3 linked regions of the Struthio camelus genome follow. The protein of the gene in region 1 interacts with the protein of each later gene in a biochemical or structural test. Links are inferred from orthologs where the notes say so. Each region holds a gene or a part of one and is shown in the gene's direction. Other genes may lie near its edges. The genes, in order: PRKCZ, PARD6B and YWHAZ.

Region 1 (3,745 bases):
CTGCATTTTTTTGGAGTCACAGAAAACATCTAGATTGATGGGAATAAGTTTTGCTTCTGTACTCCTACTTAAACTAGTATTAAGCATTATTCATATTTTTGGAAGTTCATAGAGACACCAAACAAAGCATTAGCGCTATATTCGTACAAGCGCACACATTCCTATAACCCTCAAGGGAATTGTAAAAGCGCAAAATGGTGTCTAAAAGAAACTTGAGGTAGGTGTGTACAAGGTAATAGCAAGAGACTAAGGATCAGTCTTTTCTCATTTTCAAAATACAGATTATGACTGCTCAACTCGGAGTAGTCAAACCCAAACCACAGTGGTTGTGACACCCTGGCTTGGTTTATTGTTCAGAGTTCAGTGGACTAGTTACCTGAAGGAGATGCAAACAGCTAAGCAAAAGCTCCAAGGCAAGCCTTTTGTTTGGATAGCTTATTGGCTTGCCAAATTGGTTTAGGTATAGAAGAAAACTAACTGGCCATTTTAATTCTTAATTTCCACGAGGGGACTCTGTGAGTACAACTATCCCACACCTCTGTCCAAAGAACAGAGGAGACCACTGTGCTTAAGTCATAGCTGATTCATAGTTTTAAATCAACAGATCAAAGTAGCATTAGGAAAAAAAGCACTTTATAAAACTGAAATAGTGATGACATTGGACGTTTCACAGGCTTGCCCTTGTGAAAGCGTAGGTAAGTCAGCACCGTTACAACAACGTAGTCCATTGCTTTTTTTCCTCCCCTCCCGATGTGGCTACTCAGAAGAAGTCACGATATTGTTATTTTTATTGTTTCATTTCTTCTGTACCTATTTATTTCGACAGCAGTTTTCCTGCCTTTACAGTCCCGAATGAAGTCTTCTCGGTTTGGGTGGTATGATTACCCTTCCATGGAACTACACTCTTGTGAAAGGAAGCTTTCCCTCTAACTCCGGGCGGCAGCGCCGCTCCTTCCGGGCACCGCCGCTCGCCTCAGCACCGCCCCCGGCCCTGCCCCGAGGCGGCCCCGCGCTCCCTGCCCCCAGCCCGGCGCTGCCTAGCCCGAGGGGGCGCTGCCGCTCCTCCCGCAGCGAGCCAGCGCCTCCCGGCGAGCTGAAGCTAAGGGGGGGCCGGGCGAGGCCACACCGGAGAGCCAAGGGGCCTTCGGCAGTTTGGACGACCCACTACCTCTCTAGAGGGCTCCGAGGAGAGCAGAACCGTAGCTCTGTGCCCTCACAGCGCCGTAACGGTCGCGTCTGCTCCTCCTCTCGGGCCTGGGGCCTCCTCTCGCCACGGCGCTACCACATCTCCGAGCGCATAGGTGCTGCACGGGCACAGCAGGGCACCGAAACCCTCCAGGGACGGACTAGGGCTACGGCGGAGCGCCAGAGCGCGCCCGGCCGCTGTCGTGTGAGGACAGCCGCCCCCTCTGGCCCCGCCCCTCCCATCACACCTACCGCCCCACCCGCCGCGCCCACGGGAGCCGCGCACCCGCCGCTCGCTTCTCCGATTGGCTGCAGGCGCCCGCCTTCCGCTCCCTCTATGGCTTTTTATTGGCTGAGAGGCTCCTACTCTTCAGGTAACGGTTTCTAGCCTATGATTGGTCACGGGTGGGGAATATCCTTTTGGGGATTGGCTGCAGGTGAGCCGGAGTTTGCTATTGGCCGGCAGGTAGAGTGGGAGGGGCTCTATTGGTTGTGGGTGCTTCTTCGTCGGCCATGTTCGGAGTGGTGGCGCTGGTGCGGCTAGGGCTGGGAGGAGGAGGAGGAGGGCTGGGAGGAGGAGGGGGAGGAGGAGGAGGAGGAGGAGGGGGAGGGGGAGGGGGAGGAGGAGGGGGTTACTGAGGTGGGGAGCGGATGAGCAGCTACGGGGGAACCTGGGGCTCTTTCCGCAGCGTGCTGCTGCCGCCACGGTTCCCGGGGGACTCGCCTGCCCGGAGGGCAGCGGAGCCGGGGTCCGACCCGAAGTTCCTGGCGGGACTTTGAGCAACTTGGGGGCGGCGGGAGCGGAGAGCCGAGCTCTGCTGGGACGGGGCTGGAGAGGCAGGCCCGGAGGGCGGGCGTTGTCGGTGAGCTTTGCGGAGGTGATGGGGAAGGGGATCCTTGGGCACCCGGCCGCCGGGGAGGGACCTGCCTCGGCCGGAGCAGCAGAGTAGGTAGGAGGAAGGGGGAGCCCCAGAGGCGTCCCTTGGGCGCGGCGCGGCAGGGAGGGAGGGAGAGGCCTCGTCCGGGCGAAAGCGTCCCCTGCCTCTCGCTCCCCGCGCGCGTCGGGGCCGCGGCGTCGCCCCCGGGTCGGCGGGCGCCGGAGGAGCCCTGGGGAGGGCGGGAAGGGGCTGCGAGTGCCCTCAAACCCCAGCAGGGGAGGGAGCCCAAGTTCTGGCATCTTTCCATGGTCCGTGTGGCCCCGCTTCCCTAGAGAGCGGGCTTAGGGAGCTGTGTGAAAATATTTTCGAGTATGCCTGTATATGGGAGGGAGCAGAGAGAACCTCTGAAGAAGCAGGATATTTGCTTGAGAGTCCAGTTCTAAAGGCAACTTAGACAGCCCTTTGGAGTTCTTTCACTTTTCTTGAATAAATTTGTAATTAGCATGAATGAGTAACTGTCTTCCATGTATATGCAAATTACTTTGAATTGGAATTCTCTACTGTATGAAAGAAAAGAGCCAGAAGTAGTATGGATGAAGAAGTAGTTAATTCCTTTGAGTATTTCTGGCCAGGAAGGAACTACTGGATATTTTGTTAGAAAATATTGTCCTTTAAAAAAACCAAAATTTAAATGTTTTATACCAATTGTGCAAAAAAAAACCCAAAAAACAAACTGTCTTGAGTTCCGATCGTCTATAAATTGGAATGCTTATGCAATGCAGGGTAGTTTAAACTGATTTACTTCATTACTGTGCCAGACAAGTCTTATTGTATGTTTTCCTTTTGTTTTCTTTTGGCTTTATATGTAAAGCTACTTGAGTTTACAAAATCTGACACAACGCATTTGTTCAGTAGAGCGTGTGTATATTCATCTGTATTTTGATTTTTCTTTCTTTCAGCTGGATTGACTGTCGTCTGGAAAAGATGTGCATATATCACATCTGAAGTCTTTCACTTAAGAATTAAATGAATTATCTGCTCTTTCTATATAGTTACCATATAGTCATTCATTTAGACTGTTGAATTTAGACCATGCCTAGCAGAATGGGCTCAAAAGTTAATTTGAACAGAGACTTCATCAGGGTGAAAACACACTATAGCGGGTAAGTCCACATATTCCCTCCTGTGTATTGTGTCATACCTAATTTTGAAGCGTATCGAACAGGAGTCTATAGTCTCACTTAGTAGCAGAGTAACCAGGAAGCTGATGGATTTGAATGTAATGTCAGGACAAGTATATAAACTTCTAGGCTATTAAAATAAACATCCACAACAACTGCAGCACACTGAAACATTTTAAAAGAGTTGCTGTTTTATTCCTTAGTCTGGGTTGATGGGTTATTGCTTTCTGTTTTCTTGCAAGTGTTTTACGTTCACAGGCAGATAAGTTGTTCTGTTACATCCAGATACAGTTGTTATATTTTTATAATATAGAAATACATCTATTGTACTTTATTATATTTACTCATGTTGTGAGCTCTGAATCTGCAGATTACCACTGAAATTAGCAGGAGACTACTAAGTGCAGGTTTCCACTCACAGATGTCAGTTCATGACTGTGTGCTCCTTGGGACAGAATCTATGGTATTTAGTACGAGAGCTCTTTTCCGGTGGGATTTTTT
Region 2 (3,745 bases), on another chromosome or scaffold:
ACAATTAACAATATCCTCTGTACTAATTAGCGCTTGTCTTGGCTTGAGTGATAGTTGCAATTTCTTTGCCTTTGGCATGACGGCAGTAAGACTGGCTGTCCAAAACAGCACCGACTTGAAAGTGATTAAGCACTGCATGTTCTTAAAAACTACTGATTACCAACTGAGACTTGTGAACTGACTAGACACTCATACCCTGCCTTAACTGCAAAGGGCTGTTTGTCTGCACTCCCTTCACAGCATCCTACATAAAGCCTACATGAGGACGCCTCAAACTGAGTTCTTTTCTACTAGGTTTACAGATTAGGAAGCAATCTGTATTTAGAAGGTATGCTGACATAAGTAGGTTGATCCATGGGCCTTCTTCCTACTAACACATGTAAAATTGTACTAGTAAGGAGTCCTTTTTCTTCAGATTGTAAGGCGTAAACTAATGAGGTTTCTCAGTCCCCCTGCCAGAGTACTGAAGTAGGGGCTTTGAACTGAAGTAACTGCTCTATCTCGGGATTATACCAATATGCAAGGTTACATAAAACAGTCGTTCTGGTTCATATTGCCAGATGCTGAAATATTACTTGCAGTTGAAACAAAAACACGAACTCCAACTTCTCTATGGCACGAATGGACTTTACAGAGGTACCCAGAGGGTAAGAGTTCAAACTTTTGGACTGGTCTAGACATAGTTTAGGTAATCTACAGACAAATAATCTAACAGAGGCGCACTTCGCCTTAAGTGCCCAGAATCCGCCTCGACGCCCGCTGCCCCGCGGGCGCCCTGGCCGGCAGCCGGCGGCGCCGCGACGCTGAGGCGTCTGAGGGGACGGAGGGCCGCGCTCCAGCCGCCGCGGCCCCGCGCTGACACACCAGCGCAAAGGTCGCTCGGCCAGATCCCACACCTGAGAAGGCCTTAGGTCATTAGAGATAGGAGGAAAAAATAAATAAATAACCCCTCCCCACACTTCCTCATACGGACAGCGCCTCACCCTCGCGCGGGCGCCGTGCACGCGTCCTCCATTTTGGAACCCGGACCAAGCGGGCGCAGGTGCGCCACCCCGCTGCCCGGGTGGCGACTGCGCATGCTCGCCAGCGGCAGGTGCGCCGCCCCGCCCTCCCGCCGCCTGCGCCCCGCCCTGCCGCGCAGGCGCCGCGCGCTCTGAGCCGCCCCGCCCCCTGCCTGGCCGCCGGCTCGGCGGCGCGGCAGGTGCCCGCAGCCGCCGTGGCTCCGCCCCCTCCCCCTCCCCTCCCCCCCTCCCCCGGCGGCGCTGTGAGGGCGGCGGCAGGAGGTGGCGGAGCGGCCGCGGGGTGCCGGGGGCGGCTGGCGTCGGGCCCGCGCCGCTCGCCCTTCTGCCTCGCTGCCTTTCCCACCGCCCGCGCGGGGGCTGCGGCGAGAGAGCGGAGCCGGGACAGCGACCCCGCGGCGGCATGAACCGGCCTCACCGCGGCGCCGCGGGCAGCCGGGGCCTCGGCACCATGGAGGTGAAGAGTAAGGTGGGTCCGGCCGCGGCGGCGGCGGAGGGCCGCGTCCGCCGGCGGCGCCGGGGAGAGGGCCCGGCCCGGCCCTGCGGGGCCGCCGTGGAGGAGGGCGGCGGGGCCGCAGAGCTGCTGACTCACCTGCTGGCGGGGGCGACGGCCCGCGGCCGCTCGAGCGCTCCGGGCGGCGGCGGCGGCGTGTCTCTTCCCCCCCCCCCCCCCCCCCCCCGGCAGCCTGCCCGTCCCGGCCGCCCCCCCCCCCGCCCCGGGTCGCTGCCGTGCGGCTCCGGCGGTGGAAGTTTCCTTGTGGCACCGCTCACCGGGTGCGCTGTCTGCGGGGGGGGAAAACTAGTATTTTTATGTGTGTGGGGGGGTGTTTTTAATTTTCATTTAAAAAGCTTGTGGTTTTGGTCCCTTAGTTTCTGCGTTGGTTAAAATACCGTCTAGAGAAGTGGATGGTTTGGGAAAGTTTGGGGGATACCAGGGGACATGTTTTAGAGTCATGATTCATGAACTCCAAAACCTGTTCTTGGTCTAAATGAGGAAAGGAGTGGTTTTGGTTAACTTTAACTATGTGTTTACGTACCTTTCTTAAAGTGGGCTAGAGCTCGCTATATAGCTTGCATTACTTGGTGCAGGTAAGCCACAGCTAACTTATCTTAAACAAACTTGCTTTTCTTTGAAGACTTTCCAAGGTCTTCATAATGGCAATTTTTTAAATGAGCAAATATATCTGTATGTTACCGCTCATAGCAAAAGTTTTTTTTGTTGTCAAAGCTGTGCACAATTCCACCAACCATCTTCTATTGATGTATCCACATCCATTTTTTTTCTACTGTTTCTTCTTAATGCAGATTAGGCATAGTTTTGTTGGAAAAACTTTAAATTTTTGAGAGGCAGTACATTATCTTTTGATTTATATTTCTGATGTTTTGTTGGCTTGTCATTCAGCTGTTATCAATTGTAGGGGTGTTGGATCTGTGGTATTAGTTGGTGTGTCATTAGTTAAATGAACGCATGTAACTTGAGTTAAAAACACTTTCTCTTTGTCTAGGCAGACTGTAAGTGCACCTATACAGAAATGTGTTTTCCTCCATTGGTACAAAACATATCTGTTGTTCAGATTTTATAAGTGGTCTACAGTTTGCTGTTGGAGCGTTAGAGCTGCAGTATGTGCGTAGCAGACAGGACTGAAGTTGTTGTGTGGGCTTTTGTTGTTAAGGATAATGTGACTGTGCTGAAGTTTCTCCTGGAAAACAGCTAGGTTGCATAGGTAATAGTGATTTTTAGGAGAAAAAAAAAAAAGTGGACTTAACCTTTAAGTGGACAAAATCAAAACGCACAGGAATACCTGGTAGCCCTGATTCCAAATGGTAGCGAAGCACAGCTGTGGCTCTGATTGGCGAAATCTCTTTCATTTATGCACTTTTAAGGTTGAGAACAGCCAGAACAATGTGTTTATGAGCAAAGTACTTACTGCCTCAGCGCAGAACTCTAGGCCTGTTGGTTCCTCTGTCATGTATTTTGCTTGATTAAGAATGGGATGAAAGTTTCTAGGAATCAGCTGAGATGCATTCTTTGTTATTTGTGTAGAAAAATGTAGAGGTTCTAATGAATAGGGACTGTCTCTTAAGTGCATATCATAAAGTGAGTTCCAAGGCATTCCTAGAATTACTTGTCACTAATGGATTATTTAAAGTGCATTGATTTAATATACCGTAGACGTCATCTCCCTTTTATGAGAGTAAGAAGAATTCTGAGAGAGGAAGAAGAAAGGAGTGTGTGGGAGGTGAAGTGGAGCGTTACTGTGGAGTGGTCTAGGCTTTGAAGGCTTATCAGCGATGCACAGGTCTTGATTATTGATTTGGAGTATCTCAATAATGCCCCAACTGACAAACTATGCCAACATACCCCAATTGTATTTGCAGTTGTATGAGCAAAATCTTTTTGTTAGTCAATTTTATTCGATTTAGGTAACTGATCTGAACTTGCCTTGGGGAATCTCCATAATATATTTATTCCAGTTAACCCTTTCTCTAATCTTAGACAAGTAAGTTTTATACCCCAACCTAGAGTTTTTGGTGATGGTATGAAAGTCCCAACATAAACTTTTGTTATGGTTTTTGTCTTCTCTCTCTATGTTCTGTTTTAGAATTATGTTCTTTGCAGAATGAAATCTAATATGCTGATAAAAGAGGCCGTGTATGGTTGCTGTAGTTCATGTCCTATTACTATAGCAGTCTGCTGGAGGCTGCTGTCATAGTATGGTGGCAAT
Region 3 (3,745 bases), on another chromosome or scaffold:
GAAAACACAGAGCTGAGGCGATGGGTCAGTCCCTGGGCGTGGTAAACGAAGAGCCCCGACACGCACCCGCCTCAACACTGCCGCCCCCTCCCTTCCGGGGCGAGGGGCCCCCACGCGAGCCCACCTCAACACTGCCGCCCCCTCCCTTCCGGGGCGAGGGGCCCCCACGCGAGCCCACCTCAACACTGCCATCCCCCCTCCGGGGCGAGGGGCCCCCACGCGAGCCCACCTCAACACTGCCATCCCCCCCCCGGGGCGAGGGGCCCCCACGCGAGCCCACCTCAACACTGCCATCCCCCCCCCGGGGCGAGGGGCCCCCACGCGAGCCCACCTCAACACTGCCGCCCCCCCCCCGGGGCGAGGGGCCCCCACGCGAGCCCACCTCAACACTGCCATCCCCCCCGGGGCGAGGGGCCCCCACGCGAGCCCACCTCAACACTGCCATCCCCCCCCGGGGCGAGGGGCCCCCACGCGAGCCCACCTCAACACTGCCATCCCCCCCCTGGGGCGAGGGGCCCCCACGCGAGCCCGCCTCAGCGCTGCCGCCCTCCCGCCCCGTTTCCACCCAGGCCCGGGACAGCTCCGCCGCCGCCCCCCGCCTCCGTGGCCTGCGGGCAGAGCCACCGCGACGGCGACCGCGGCCCCGCCGGGGGGCGGGCCTGCCCGGCCGGCCCTGCCCCAGCCGTGGCGGGGTGAGAGGCCCGGGCTGGCGGAGGGGCGGCGCCCCGGCCCGGCCCTGCGGCAGCGAGGACGAGCCCCCCTGACGGGCTCGCTCGGCCTCTGCAGTCACAGGGAGGGAAGGAGGAAGGCGCGCGCCCGCGGGAGGAGCCGCCGGTTTTAGGCGTGGCCGCCGCTCCCCCCCCCCCCGCGCGCCCCCGCGCGCGCCGCCGGCGCCCGCGGCGGTCGGCGAGGCCTCCGCCCTGTGCAGGGAGCGCCGGGGGAGGCGCGGGCTCGCGCCCGCGCCCTCGCCGTTGCCATGGCCCCGCTTGACGTCACGGGCGGTGCGCTGCCCGTGCGTTGCGGCGCGGTGATTGGCGGAGACCCCGTGTGTGGCGCTGGGAGAGAGGCTGCAGCGAAGCGAGCCGCGAGACAGGCACAGTCCGCGCCGGCCGTCCGCCCCGAGACACTCGCCGCGTCGCTGCCGCCTCGCACAGGTAACGGGGCCCGCGGCGCCGCGCGGCCCCGCCTCCCGGCTCCCGCCCCGGCTGGCGGCCCCGGGCCCCGACCCCCGCGCGCCGAGGGAGGCGAGGCGGCCGGGGGGCAGCGCGCAGACCTCCCCCGCCCCCTCCGCCGGCCTCGCCGGTGGCGGCAGGGCGGCTCCCGCCGGGGCTCCGCGGGGAGGGGGCGGGCGAGCCGGAGCGGAGCGAGGCGGCCGCCGCGGCCCGCGCAGGTGAGGCCGCGGCTGCCCCTCCCTGCCCGGCCTCGCCCGCGAGGGAAGGGGGAAGGGGGGAGCCGTTGGGGGCGGCGGGTGGCGGAGGGGGTGGCAGGTGAGGGCCGCAGGGGCGGTGTCCCGCCCTTGGCGGGCGGGGGCGACCGCGCCGCCGCGCCCGCGCGGGAAGGGGAGGGGGTGTAACGCCTCCGCGGGGCGGGGGCGGGAGCGCGGCCCGCAGTGCGCGGGCGGCTGTCGCTGGGTGCGGTCTCCCGCCGGGAGCGCTGCCCGGGCGCGGAAGAGCCGCAGCGGCCGCCCCTCCGTCGGGCTCGCTTCCCTTCTCTCCGCCCTGCCCTCCTTCCTCCCCCATTCCCCCCCCCCCCGGGCGCCTTCCTCCGCCTCCCCCCCGCCCCACCGCGGCCGAGGGGGTCTCGCCGGGGCGTGCGAGGCTGGCCGCAGCCCCGCGGGCGGTAACGGCGGCTCCCCCGGAGCGGGGGCCGCCTCCCCCCTCGTCCTCCTCTTGGCCACTGGGGCGGCGGGGCCGGGCCGGCGGGCTTCCCCTCGGCCGGTCGCTGTCGGGGCGGAGACGCTGCATCTTCCTCCTCCGCCGCCGCCCCCCGGCGTTGGGCGGAGGTGAGTGGGATTAACGCGCACTGAAGTGGGCTGGGCTCCGACGCCAGTCCGCCATGACAAAGGCGGCAGCGAGGCGCTCGGTGTCTCCGCGGCGGGCGGATGCGGCGCGGGGCGGGGCTGTCCCCGAGCGTGCCTCCGCGCGGGGGGCCGCCCGCCCGGCTGCCCGCAGCACCATTTTATGCTGTCATCCAGCGTGCCGAGCGGCATCCTCCGGTCCTCGCCGCGCTTCAGAGCGGTCGTCTTCACCCATCAGAACCAAGGGCCGCTTGGCTGCCCGGAAGGGATACTGCCGTACCCGTCTGCGGGCAATGGGTAGCCCGGTGGCCAGATAAACTGGCGTTCAGACAAACATTCAAACCACGTTTGCCTTAGTCGCACCGGGTGGTGAAACAACCGTAGCCAAAACCTTTCTTTAAAATGGCTCCTTAACCCACTACTTATAGTGTGGTCAGGACTTCGGCACATGTTAGCAAACACTGTGGAACAGCCACTGAATTGCTGTGTGCCAGCGTTGGGGAGAGCAGCTGCTAAAACTTTCTCCTTTCAGGTGTCTAGGATGTTAAAACGTGCTTTGTTTGTCCTTAAATAGGAGGTACTGCAGTTAGTGCTTGTGGTAACTTTATGTAAAATGACCAAAGTTAAGCTACTGAATTATTATGTGTGAGGTTGCTAGTTGGAATGTATAGAAATAATGTAGCATATATCACCAGAATTGGTTCTCGTCTTAATAATAAAACCTTAAAGGAGGGTGTATTTCAAAGCACATAGTAAGGACCTGAAAAATGACTGGATCAAGATACATGAAAACTTGGGGGGTGAGGTAGGATTATCATGTCTTGAGGTACAAAAAAATATGTCGGTTATCTTCGTTTGGCAGAGCTTGGTTTAAAGAGTCTGGATGTGATACAGGCTATAAAGTATCTCAGCCAGCTCATGCTGTCTCAAAAGCTGATGTTCAAGTAATATTTTAAATAGTGAAGTCTCCTTGGGTCTGTGAAAGCATACCTAACCTCTCAGACTGAGGAGCACTGCCTAGGTGAGAGGATTTAACCTATTACCGTTTTGGGAAAGGAAGCTAACGTTGTCAAAGGGTGTACTCCTTGAAACTGCTTGAATATTTAGGGAGCTCTGACTTCTCAGCCTCCAGTGTTGGGTTTGATTTGCAGATCCCTATGGCTAGTCTTTCTGCACATAAATATAAGGTCCTGTTAAGGCACAGAGTTGTCTCATACTGTTTGACTAGCCTGTATTTTGTCTGTTCCTATGTTGTCAATCTTATTACCTTGATAATTAGATGCAGCTGATGCTGCATCTTTACTGCACTCATATGAGAAAACTGAGTGATGGCAAAGGACTGGGATTGTGCGTATGCTTGAGATAGGAGTGATCTGCTTTCAGTTCACATTTGGATGCTTATATTTGTAAACATTTAAAATAATATTCCTTTAAAAGTTAACGTTTCCTTAGAAGGAGGCAGTGACTTGAAGTCTTCAGCTCATGTATTTGAGCATTGGAGCTTGCCTGCTTTGTGTTCTAGATTTTGGTTGTACATTTCACAATTTCAGACTTCTTGGAAAACGGTTGCTCTGCATATGACATTAAAACATCTTTGTCCTTGATAAATGTCTGAATAATACCTCCCTGTTTTTCCTCTGTAGAAAGATCAGCATGGATAAAAATGAGCTGGTGCAGAAGGCCAAACTGGCTGAGCAAGCTGAAAGATATGATGACATGGCAAGTTGC

What was found.
Region 2: the proteins of PRKCZ (region 1) and PARD6B form a complex in vitro, tested with the Homo sapiens proteins (2 studies listed by BioGRID). The link is inferred for Struthio camelus from reciprocal best matches to the Homo sapiens genes PRKCZ and PARD6B.
Region 3: the proteins of PRKCZ (region 1) and YWHAZ form a complex in vitro, tested with the Homo sapiens proteins (2 studies listed by BioGRID, with this or other methods). The link is inferred for Struthio camelus from reciprocal best matches to the Homo sapiens genes PRKCZ and YWHAZ.

What each region holds. Positions count from the first base shown.
Region 1 is NC_090962.1:2,922,014-2,925,758, reverse strand, and holds the start of PRKCZ (protein kinase C zeta type), read left to right. Parts: upstream 1-1,046; 5' UTR 1,047-1,559; intron 1,560-1,662; exon of another isoform or gene 1,663-2,135; intron 2,136-3,022; 5' UTR 3,023-3,155; coding exon 3,156-3,226; intron 3,227-3,745. UniProt on the Homo sapiens protein: Calcium- and diacylglycerol-independent serine/threonine-protein kinase that functions in phosphatidylinositol 3-kinase (PI3K) pathway and mitogen-activated protein (MAP) kinase cascade, and is involved in NF-kappa-B activation, mitogenic signaling, cell proliferation, cell polarity, inflammatory response and maintenance of long-term potentiation (LTP).
Region 2 is NC_090959.1:10,323,739-10,327,483, forward strand, and holds the start of PARD6B (partitioning defective 6 homolog beta), read left to right. Parts: upstream 1-1,255; 5' UTR 1,256-1,422; coding exon 1,423-1,488; intron 1,489-3,745. UniProt on the Homo sapiens protein: Adapter protein involved in asymmetrical cell division and cell polarization processes. Probably involved in formation of epithelial tight junctions.
Region 3 is NC_090943.1:146,171,665-146,175,409, forward strand, and holds the start of YWHAZ (14-3-3 protein zeta/delta), read left to right. Parts: upstream 1-867; 5' UTR 868-1,154; intron 1,155-3,660; 5' UTR 3,661-3,670; coding exon 3,671-3,745.